Linked DNA regions of Xenopus tropicalis. Each later gene encodes a partner of the first gene's protein in a complex. Links are inferred from orthologs where the notes say so. Each region holds a gene or a part of one and is shown on either strand. Other genes may lie near its edges.

Region 1 (5,269 bases):
GGTAGGGGGTGCCATAGTGTTTCCCTTAGACAGTACAGTATGGGGGTACAGCTTATTGTGTGCCCAGAACATTCCCTCTCTGTATATTTGTATTTATACATATGGGTAGGGGGGTGCCATAGTGTTTCCCTTAGACAGTTACAGTATGGGGGTACAGCTTATTGTGTGCCCAGAACATTCCTTCTCTGTATATTTGTATTTATACATATGGGTAGGGGGTGCCATAGTGTTTCCCTTAGACAGTACAGTATGGGGGTACAGCTTATTGTGTGCCCAGAACATTCCCTCTCTGTATATTTGTATTTATACATATGGGTAGGGGGTGCCATAGTGTTTCCCTTAGACAGTACAGTATGGAGGTACAGCTTATTGTGTGCCCAGAACATTCCCTCTCTGTATATTTGTATTTATACATATGGGTAGGGGGTGCCATAGTGTTTCCCTATGACAGTACAGAGTACCCCTGGGACCCTTACCAAGATGTCGCATACAATACAAAGACACTGGCCGCCCGGGATATTGCGCTCCGTGCTTCTTTGGAGATATTAACCCCTTCTGGGAGCTGGAAGAGAAGACAATCAGCATTAGTTGGGAGCATTTAGGAAGTTGGTTTGGTGATGAGACCCTACAGCCCTAGGGAGTTGCATCACATGACACTACAAGCTGCTATATATATATATATATACACACAACATGTATAGCAGCTCCATGCAGAGATTAAACATCAGCCCCTGCCACATGGAGCTTACAATCTAAGGTCCTTATTACACACATACAGGGGCAGTTTTATCAGGGGCCAATGAGCTGCCTGTGTGTGTATTTGGGCTGTGGGAGGGAACCCAGTAGTGCCAACTGGATCAGGAGTTCTGTTAGTGGAGTCCTATTGTAAGGGTGTAGAACATGGCAGACCCATCTGAACAACAGCGGAAACCCAACAGCTAACACTTCACTTACAGCTTCCTTAATGATCCGCGTGACCACAGCGTTGGGCAAGTTCAGATCTTCCGGTCTCTCGGCCATTCTGCTCAGCTACAACTGGAAGGCAGGAAAGGGACAGGTCAGTACCTGGGTATGGGCAGGGCAGTAAGTGGATATAAGCAGGACAGTGCCTGGGCAGGAGCGGGGCAGGACCTGGGTATAAGTGGAGTAGGGCAGTGCCTGGGTAGGGCAGTACCTGGGCAGGAGCAGGGCAGGACCTGGGTATAAGTGGAGTAGGGCAGTGCCTGGGCAGTAGCGGGGCAGTGCCTGGGTATAAGTGGGGTAGGGCAGGACCTGGGCAGGGGCGGGGCAGTGCCTGGGTATAAGTGGAGTAGGGCAGTGCCTGGGCAGTAGCGGGGCAGTACCTGGGTATAAGTGGGGTAGGGCAGTACCTGGGCAGGAGCGGGGCAGTGCCTGGGTATAAGTGGGGTAGGGCAGGACCTGGGCAGGGGCGGGGCAGGACCTGGGCAGGGCAGGACCTGGGCAGGAGAGGGGCAGTACCTGGGCAGGAGAGGGGCAGTACCTGGGGAGGAGCGGGGCAGTGCCTGGGGAGGAGTGGGGCAGTGCCTGGGGAGGAGAGGGGCAGTGCCTGGGGAGGAGTGGGGCAGTGCCTGGGGAGGAGTGGGGCAGTGCCTGGGGAGGAGCGGGGCAGTGCCTGGGGAGGAGCGGGGCAGTACCTGGGGAGGAGAGGGGCAGTGCCTGGGAGGAGAGGGGCAGTGCCTGGGGAGGAGAGGGGCGGTGCCTGGGGAGGAGAGGGGCGGTGCCTGGGGAGGAGAGGGGCGGTGCCTGGGGAGGAGCGGGGCGGTACCTGGGGAGGAGAGGGGCGGTACCTGGGGAGGAGAGGGGCAGTGCCTGGGGAGGAGAGGGGCAGTGCCTGGGGAGGAGAGGGGCAGTGCCTGGGGAGGAGTGGGGCAGTGCCTGGGGAGGAGAGGGGCAGGACCTGGGCAGGAGCGGGGCAGTGCCTGGGGAGGAGAGGGGCAGGACCTGGGCAGGAGCGGGGCAGGACCTGGGTATAAGTGGAGTAGGGCAGTACCTGGGCAGGAGCGGGGCGCTGGCGTACCTGGAGGAGCGGGCGGTACCTGGGAGGAGAGGGGCGGCACCTGGGGAGGGGGCGTACCTGGGGAGGAGAGGGGCGGTACCTGGGGAGGCGGAGGGGCGGCACCTGGGGAGGAGAGGGCGCGTACCTGGGGAGGAGAGGGCGGCACCTGGGGAGGGAGGGGCGGACCTGGGAGGGAGCGGGCGGTACCTGGGGAGGGGAGGGCGGTACCTGGGGAGGGCAGGGGGTTACCTGGGGAGGAGAGGGGCGTAACCTGGGGAGGAGAGGGGCGGGTACCTGCGGGAGGAGGGGCGGTACCTGGGGAGGGAGGGCCGGTACCTGGGGAGGCGGAGGGGCGGTACCTGGGGAGGGGAGGGGCGGTACCTGGGGAGGAGAGGGGCGGTTACCTGGGGAGGAGAGGGGCGGTACCTGGGGAGGAGGAGCGGTACCTGGGAGGGAGGGCGGCACCTGGGGAGGGGAGGGGCGGGGGGGGGGCGGACCTGGGGAAGGGGAGGGGCGGTACCTGGGAGGAGGGGGCGGCACCTGGGAGGGGTAGGGGCGGCCACCTGGGGAGGGGAGGGGCGGTACCTGGGGAGGGGAGGGGCGGCACCTGGGGAGGGGGGGGCGGCACCTGGGGGGAGGGGGCGGCCACCTGGGGAGGGGAGGGGCGGGGTTACCTGGGAGGGAGGGGCGGTACCTGGGGGAGGGGGCGGTACCTGGGGAGGGAGGGGCGGTACCTGGGGGAGGGAGGGGCCGGGGACCTGGGGAGGGGAGGGGCGTACCTGGGGAGGAGAGGGGCGTACCTGGGGGAGGGAGGGCGGTACCTGGGGAGGGGAGGGGCGGCAACCTGGGGAGGGGAGGGGCGGGGCACCGTGGGGAGGAGAAGGGCGGTTACCATGGGGAGGAGAGGGGGGCGTACCTGGGGAGGGAGGGGCGGCACCTGGGAGGGGGGAAAGGGGGGGCGTACGTGGGGAGGGAGGGCGGTACCTGGGGAGGAGAGGGGGGCGGTACCTGGGGAGGAGAGGGGCGGTACCTGGGGAGGGGAGGGGCGGTACCTGGGGAGGGGAGGGGCGGCACCTGGGGAGGGGAGGGGCGGTACCTGGGTAGGAGAGGGGCAGGAACAGGAGTAATATACAGCAGGGAAAGAGAGTAGCTGGGAGCTGTAGTCCAACACCACAGGGCAGGTTACTGAGCCCTAAAGTTAGAGTGATGAGCTGGGCACCCACCGACCCCCGCACAGGCCCACCAGCCCCATGATACACCCCCCCCCCCATACTGTACCTCAGGGCCCCTCACTGACAGGAACAATAACCAGACGCGCTCTTCCTCCTTCTCCACTTCCCGCCTTCCAGCCGAACCTTTACCAGCACCACGTGGCTCAGAAGCCCCGCCCCTCGGAACCCCTATTGGAACGCAAACCCCCCCCCCGGCTTGCGTTCCAACAGTCGCTCCTAACGCCTTGCGTTCCACCTTACAAAATAAAGGGGCCGCCATTGCTCTGTGTCACCTGAACAGAGGAGGGTTTTAGTAACGGGAATGCCTTGCGCGTACCAAGCCTCATAACCACTCAGCAGAACTTTCATTGCGAGAACGAGGCTTGGAATACACGGCAGCCATATTGCTTGGGAATGTTCCCGGAAGCGTCTTTTGTTGTTATGGTAACCGGGAGAGGGTAAGTTTTTTTTTGTATTTGCGCAATCGGGGCAGGAAGATATTGGGGTGAATGAGCAGTGTCTGATGCTGACAGGGGGTCTGTTCCCGTAAGGGTCTCAGTCATGTGACACCTGATGGTTAAATAACACAAAATATGTTCCTAAGGCTTTGCTTCCCCTTTACTCTTACTAACCGTGATTGGACTGCAACTCCCACATCCCTTTATAGCAATGAAGGGTTAAAAGATCTGGGGGCCCGATTTCAGGGGAGGGTTTAGACGTGATTATTATCCCTACTGAAATGTAATGATATAATATTACTGACGTCATCTGTTATAATCTGTGCTTGGTGATGTCATTTGTGTCACATGACTCCTTATGTGTGTCCTACACCCAAATATCCATTCATTCCTCATTCCCTTCCCTGCACTGCTGGTTCTGACTCCTGATACAACTCCCCAATATCCATTCATTCCTCATTCTCACTGGGTTTATAGTTATGTGTAACTGTCACTGTGTCTGTTCCTTTCCCTGCACTGCTGGTTCTGACTCCTGATACAACTCCCCAATACCCATTCATTCCTCATTCTCACTGGGTTTATAGTTATGTGTAACTGTCACTGTGTCTGTCCCTTTCCCTTCCCTGCACTGCTGGTTCTGACTCCTGATACAACTCCCCAATATCCATTCATTCCTCATTCTCACTGGGTTTATAGTTATGTGTAACTGTCACTGTGTCTGTCCCTTTCCCTTCCCTGCACTGCTGGTTCTGACTCCTGATACAACTCCCCCAATATCCATTCATCCCTCATTCTTCACTGGGTTTATAGTTATGTGTAACTGTCACTGTGTCTGTCCCTTTCCCTTCCCTGCACTGCTGGTTCTGACTCCTGATACAACTCCCCAATACCCATTCATCCCTCATTCTCACTGGGTTTATAGTTATGTGTAACTGTCACTGTGTCTGTCCCTTTCCCTTCCCTGCACTGCTGGTTCTGGACTCCTGATACAACTCCCCAATACCATTCATTCCTCATTCTCACTGGGTTATAGTTATGTGTAACTGTCACTGTGTCTGTCCCTTTCCCTTCCCTGCACTGCTGGTTCTGACTCCTGATACAACTCCCCAATACCCATTCATTCCTCATTCTCACTGGGTTATTAGTTATGTGTAACTGTCACTGTGTCTGTCCCTTTCCCTTCCCTGCACTGCTGGTTCTGACTCCTGATACAACTCCCCAATACCCATTCATCCCTCATTTCTCACTGGGTTTATAGTTATGTGTAACTGTCACTGTGTCTGTCCCTTTCCCTTCTCTGCACTGCTGGTTCTGACTCCTGATACAACTCCCCAATATCCATTCATTCCTCATTCTCACTGGGTTTATAGTTATGTGTAACTGTCACTGTGTCTGTCCCTTTTCCCTTCCCTGCACTGCTGGTTCTGACTCCTGATACAACTCCCCAATATCCATTCATCCCTCATTCTCACTGGGTTTATAGTTATGTGTAACTGTCACTGTGTCTGTCCCTTTCCCTTCCCTGCACTGCTGGTTCTGACTCTTGATACAACTCCCCAATACCCATTCATTCCTCATTCTCA
Region 2 (4,714 bases), on another chromosome or scaffold:
ATATAAGTGCCATGTGGTATGAGACACAGTAGGAAGGAGGTCCCTGCCCCGTAGAGCTTACAATCTTATAATGTAGATCTTACAATCCCAATAGCCTTGGATATTGTACTGGTTCAAAAAGTTATCTAAGCCACTCTTAATCTGGAAGGGTTATATTTGATGAACCTTTTTCTCTTCCCCCCCCCCCCAACCCATTTTAATTACAGTATCTAACTATGTAACATTCAAAGATAGTTGTAAGGAAAAAGTATAATAAATTGGTAACTATGCTGTTAAACAACAAAGCTGTTTTATGATGCCTGGTGCCTACAAAAAAGGACATATCAATTGTTCTTCCAGCATACTGAACCCTTAGTTCAAGGGGCTCATTCATTAAAGCACGATTGACCACGAATGAGAAAAATTTGTATTTTTTCTATTTTTTTTTTGTGTTAGAACTTTTCATATTGACCACAATAATATCATTAAAATAGTACGACTTTTTTGTGATTTTCGTTAAATTCTACGAAAAAGTAATTTTTTTGAGACTGTGACCATTTCAGAATTTATTCAAGCTTTGGTATCGTGACATTCTTTTGGCCAGGTTGGTGCCATTGAGTCCTATAAAAGGCTTCCAAAATCATGCATTGAATTTCAACGCCAGAAAGGTTTTTGCGCTGTTTAAGATCGTTCAGATATGAAAATTTTGTGACTTTCGGATCACAACCACATTATTTTCGTACGACCAAGAAAATAATTTTTGCACAATTTTCGCACATCAGAAATTATCATGGTTACTCCGAATTTTTTCCAATCGTGCTTTTAATTGGCGAAAATTCGTGCCTTAATGAATGTGCCCCCAAGTGTACTATAGTAAGAAGTATGGAGAGAGATTTCCAAGCAGAGGAAATCTACAGGCAGGGAACATTTGAGAGGCCTCATGGTGAGGTTTTCTTTTATAGCCTTCACCTTCTTGGGGCCAATGGTCTAGTCAGATCTTTCGGCCTCCCGCACTGGTGGCACTTCCAGATATCTTTCAGCCTAAACCTGCCTGTCCTGCATGTTTTGGGTCACTTGGCACATCACTTTCAGGGCAGTTTCCAACCCGCTTAACTGCTTTCTTGCTCCTGTGCCCACATGCCTCTGCTTAGTCCAAGCAGTTATAGCTGGTGCTTGGTGAAGGGGTCCTCTATCAATAGAAACACTGGATTTCTTGTTTTCCTTTGGATAAACATGTTCTTCGGTATCAAACTTCCTCTCTCGAAAAAATCCTTCTTTCTCCAGGAAAAGTCTGCACAGCTCTCTCCCTTCTCCTGCTCCCCCTCCCATAAGAATTCACTCCCCCTCCCATCTGAATGTATGATCTGAGTTACCAGTGGCTAGAGCTACAGCACAGAAACTACAGAGTCCTAGCTAAAATGGCAGTTGCTATCTTTAACAAACAGGGAGTTTCTAGGGTTGTTTACTCAGGTATGTTAAAGCTTTCTACAGATTAAAAGGTGTTCTTGGACTTGCACTGATGTTGCTAATCTATTGGCATAAAATGCCTTGCCTTCTCCTTTAAGCATGCAGCCAACCTGGCTGGAGACATCATGTGATGTTATGCTGATTGGGCACAGTTTGCTAATGACTACCTCAGTTTATGGTCACTCTAAAAAAAGGATGCTCTCCTTTCATGTCCAGTTTAATGGTTAGGCTGATCTGTTAGTCTAATCAGCCTCCGTTGAGGCAGAATCCATGTCTGGGCATGATTTCCTGTTTTGAACTCTAGAAATGTTTAAAGGGGAAGCATTTTGAGGGAATCCGCAGTGTCAATCCACACTTTGGTCAGTGCAGTATTCTACCCTTAAGATCCAAGAATCTCCAGAATCTGACCAAGCAAAGTCTTTTTAAATATCTTGTAAAGAAAACTCAATTTTCCAGCCCACAATCAACCTAAATGTATTGCTTTTTTTTTTAGCGGGGACAAAACTTAAAGCACACCCTTCCTCACATAGGGGGGTAGGTTAAGCCAAGTAATAGCCTGTGTCAGTTTATAGTATGTCCATAGTAAACTTAAATTTGTTGCAGGCCCGTTGGGTCAAATTTGTATAGTAATTTTCTTGACTTATGAGGCAATGAACAGGCTGCCTTTAAAGCGGTTGAAGGCGTACTCCACTAGAGTGATCAGCATATCCTAGGCAGCTAGGCTTAACTGCTTGTCAGCAGGTTTATCAATTTATATGTTTTCCGAAGTTCTATATTTGAATGTTCTGCCCTTAACAGGTGGTTTCTTTGAACAGAAGGTATAGCTGTATTGTGGATGACTGGCCCACTGTGCTCGATTTCTTTCACCCTTGGACTGTTATGGGGCTGCTTTGATAGTTTTCATTTGTTCCTATGCCTCCAAGAAAACAAAAAGGGCTTTGTGTATGCTGTTAAAACCTTTTGAGTCATTTGGAAGACTGGGGTCTGGTAATTTTATTTAGTTATATTTTTGTTCCGCAGGGCCATTCCCCTGGCAATCTTCCAGGCTGAAGTGGGTGTAAAAAGGCATTACTTGCGAAAGTGGCTAAAAAATCCTTCCTTGCAGGACCTGGATATACGTTCTGTAAGTTCATAATCAATGTAATATTTTGATATTTCCTATTAGCACCTGTGGTTTATTTTTATCTATAACCCTATTTCTACCCATTAGATTCTAGACTGGGATTACTACATAGAAAGATTGGGCAGTGCAATTCAGAAGATTATTACCATCCCAGCAGCACTGCAGCAGGTATGTAGGGGACATTGTCTGTATAAGACACACAGAGGAACAATAACCTGTGAAGTTTGGCGCTTGCCGGTGCTGCGTGATCTCCCTATTTTAGTCAAACTTGTTAAAACTAAAAAAGAAGTTTATGTATCTGGGGATTCATATGGAATCAAAGCAAAGTGTGCTTTTGTATACACCAGCAGGTATCTGCAGCGATAGTTACCGTTTCTATTCATAAAGTTTGCAAGTAGCTTGAAATCTTCCAGCAGTCACTTCTGCGTAATGTCTTCGAATTTTTGTGGCGCAAGGCATTAACACTGTTAAATCTTGTATGTCATACCCTTTGTTGTGTCTCTCCTAGGTGAAGAATCCTGTCCCACGTGTACGTCATCCAGACTGGCTTCATAAAAAGCTGCTGGAAAAAAATGATATCTACAAACAAAAACGAATCAATGAGCTGTTCACCAGTGAAGGCAAAAGACAGGTACTTGACCGTTAATTGTAGTTAAATATCATATATGAAAGTTCAGAGTGTTTTTAAATTTATATATTCCTTTCTGCTAGTTATCCACTTTACTGCAGGAGCAGCTGCTTATTTTGAGATATTTTTGTTAACATAATTTTAAATTGTTGCCAGAGCATTCTTAAGATTGTTTGCAATCCTTTATGGTATTTCAGTTTACAAGGCTGAATACTTTGATAAAGGGCCTTCTTTTTGTCATCATTAGCATAGTTTTGGTTACTTAGCAGAAAAACAAGAGTAACTGTGCTATAAATGTTATACCTTTACATTGTTTGGATTGTCTTTAGTTGCAAGATATTCTTGAAAACGGTTAATTATACATTGGTTTTATGTAGGTTTTTGTCCAGTCATCATCATTTTTGTTTAATCGTGCTAATGATCCAGTAAGTGCCATCAGTTTGTTAAAGGCAGAGTGGCTTTATAGCAGAAATCCCTAAATAATCATCTCTGAGCTATCCTTAATTGTGACTTGCACGTCAAACCATTTCTTTACAGTAATTAGATCAGAGGTAGCAGCCCTCTTCTCCATGATGCCATGAAATAATAAGATTTCCACTAATGCAATTTTTCAGCTGGGGAGGATATTGAATCACTTTACACTGTGATGGAACAATATTAACTCTTGAACTTCAGACCTGCTTGAAAAATGAAAACGCAACACATTATATACCCACATATATTTTTTGTTTATACTAGTCAGAAAAGTTTACGCGTATATTACCTGACTTGTTAACGTTTTCGCTGGCTCAGATAACATTTTTGCCTTTGTTCTTTGTATAGTTTAGTGTTTTTTAACTAATTTATTATCTGAACCAGATCACTGCCCAGATGCAGCAGCCGGATTCCTCGCAAACTCCAGACATGGAAGATTTTGGAATAGGCAAGCGTCTGCAACCAGCAGTGCCAATAAGCACCAAAAGAAAGCGTGTCCCAACAGCTGAAGACAGCCAAGGAGACTCCCAGAACCTGGCTCTTACCCAGTCTTGGCGTGAAGTTTTGGGACCGCCACCTCCACTAGGTACCACCAAGGTGAGCAGTCCTGTCTTTACTTGCTACAAAAAAGCAATGATGTATTCCCTTGTGATACATTTTGATGATTAAAATTTGGAATGGTAATACATTTTGAACCAATAGGAAGAACGTCTAGTCTGGCTCCGTTACCACAAGAAAAAGTGGGAGCTACAGGCACGTCAACGAAAAGAGCGACAGAAGAAACGAAGACTGGAGGATGGAGATGTGGCACCAGGTGCAGGAGGAGTGATACGAGAAACCCAGGCAGCTGGACTTGGCAGTTTTTTGAGACGGACTGCACGCAGTATTCTAGACATGCCATGGCAGATTGTGCAAGTATGTGGTCTTTTATTTTATTGTTCTGGTTTCGAGGTAAGTTTAAAATTCCTAATAGATGGAACTGTTTGGTGTCTTTTACAGATTGGTGAAAGCAGCCAGCCGGGGCTTTTCCGCCTGTGGGCTGT

What was found. Proteins that work in one complex are often made in the same cells at the same time.
Region 2: pole3 (region 1) and pole share a complex: the UniProt entries of both Homo sapiens proteins name them as parts of the DNA polymerase epsilon complex. The link is inferred for Xenopus tropicalis from reciprocal best matches to the Homo sapiens genes POLE3 and POLE.

What each region holds. Positions count from the first base shown.
Region 1 is NC_030684.2:2,369,229-2,374,497, reverse strand, and holds the start of pole3 (DNA polymerase epsilon subunit 3), read right to left. Parts: upstream 3,340-5,269; 5' UTR 3,296-3,339; intron 1,036-3,295; 5' UTR 1,021-1,035; coding exon 955-1,020; intron 563-954; coding exon 477-562; intron 1-476. UniProt on the Homo sapiens protein: Accessory component of the DNA polymerase epsilon complex. Participates in DNA repair and in chromosomal DNA replication.
Region 2 is NC_030677.2:144,163,325-144,168,038, reverse strand, and holds part of pole (DNA polymerase epsilon catalytic subunit A), read left to right. Parts: intron 1-2,466; coding exon 2,467-2,569; intron 2,570-2,656; coding exon 2,657-2,737; intron 2,738-3,077; coding exon 3,078-3,200; intron 3,201-4,055; coding exon 4,056-4,268; intron 4,269-4,373; coding exon 4,374-4,586; intron 4,587-4,670; coding exon 4,671-4,714. UniProt on the Homo sapiens protein: Catalytic component of the DNA polymerase epsilon complex. Participates in chromosomal DNA replication.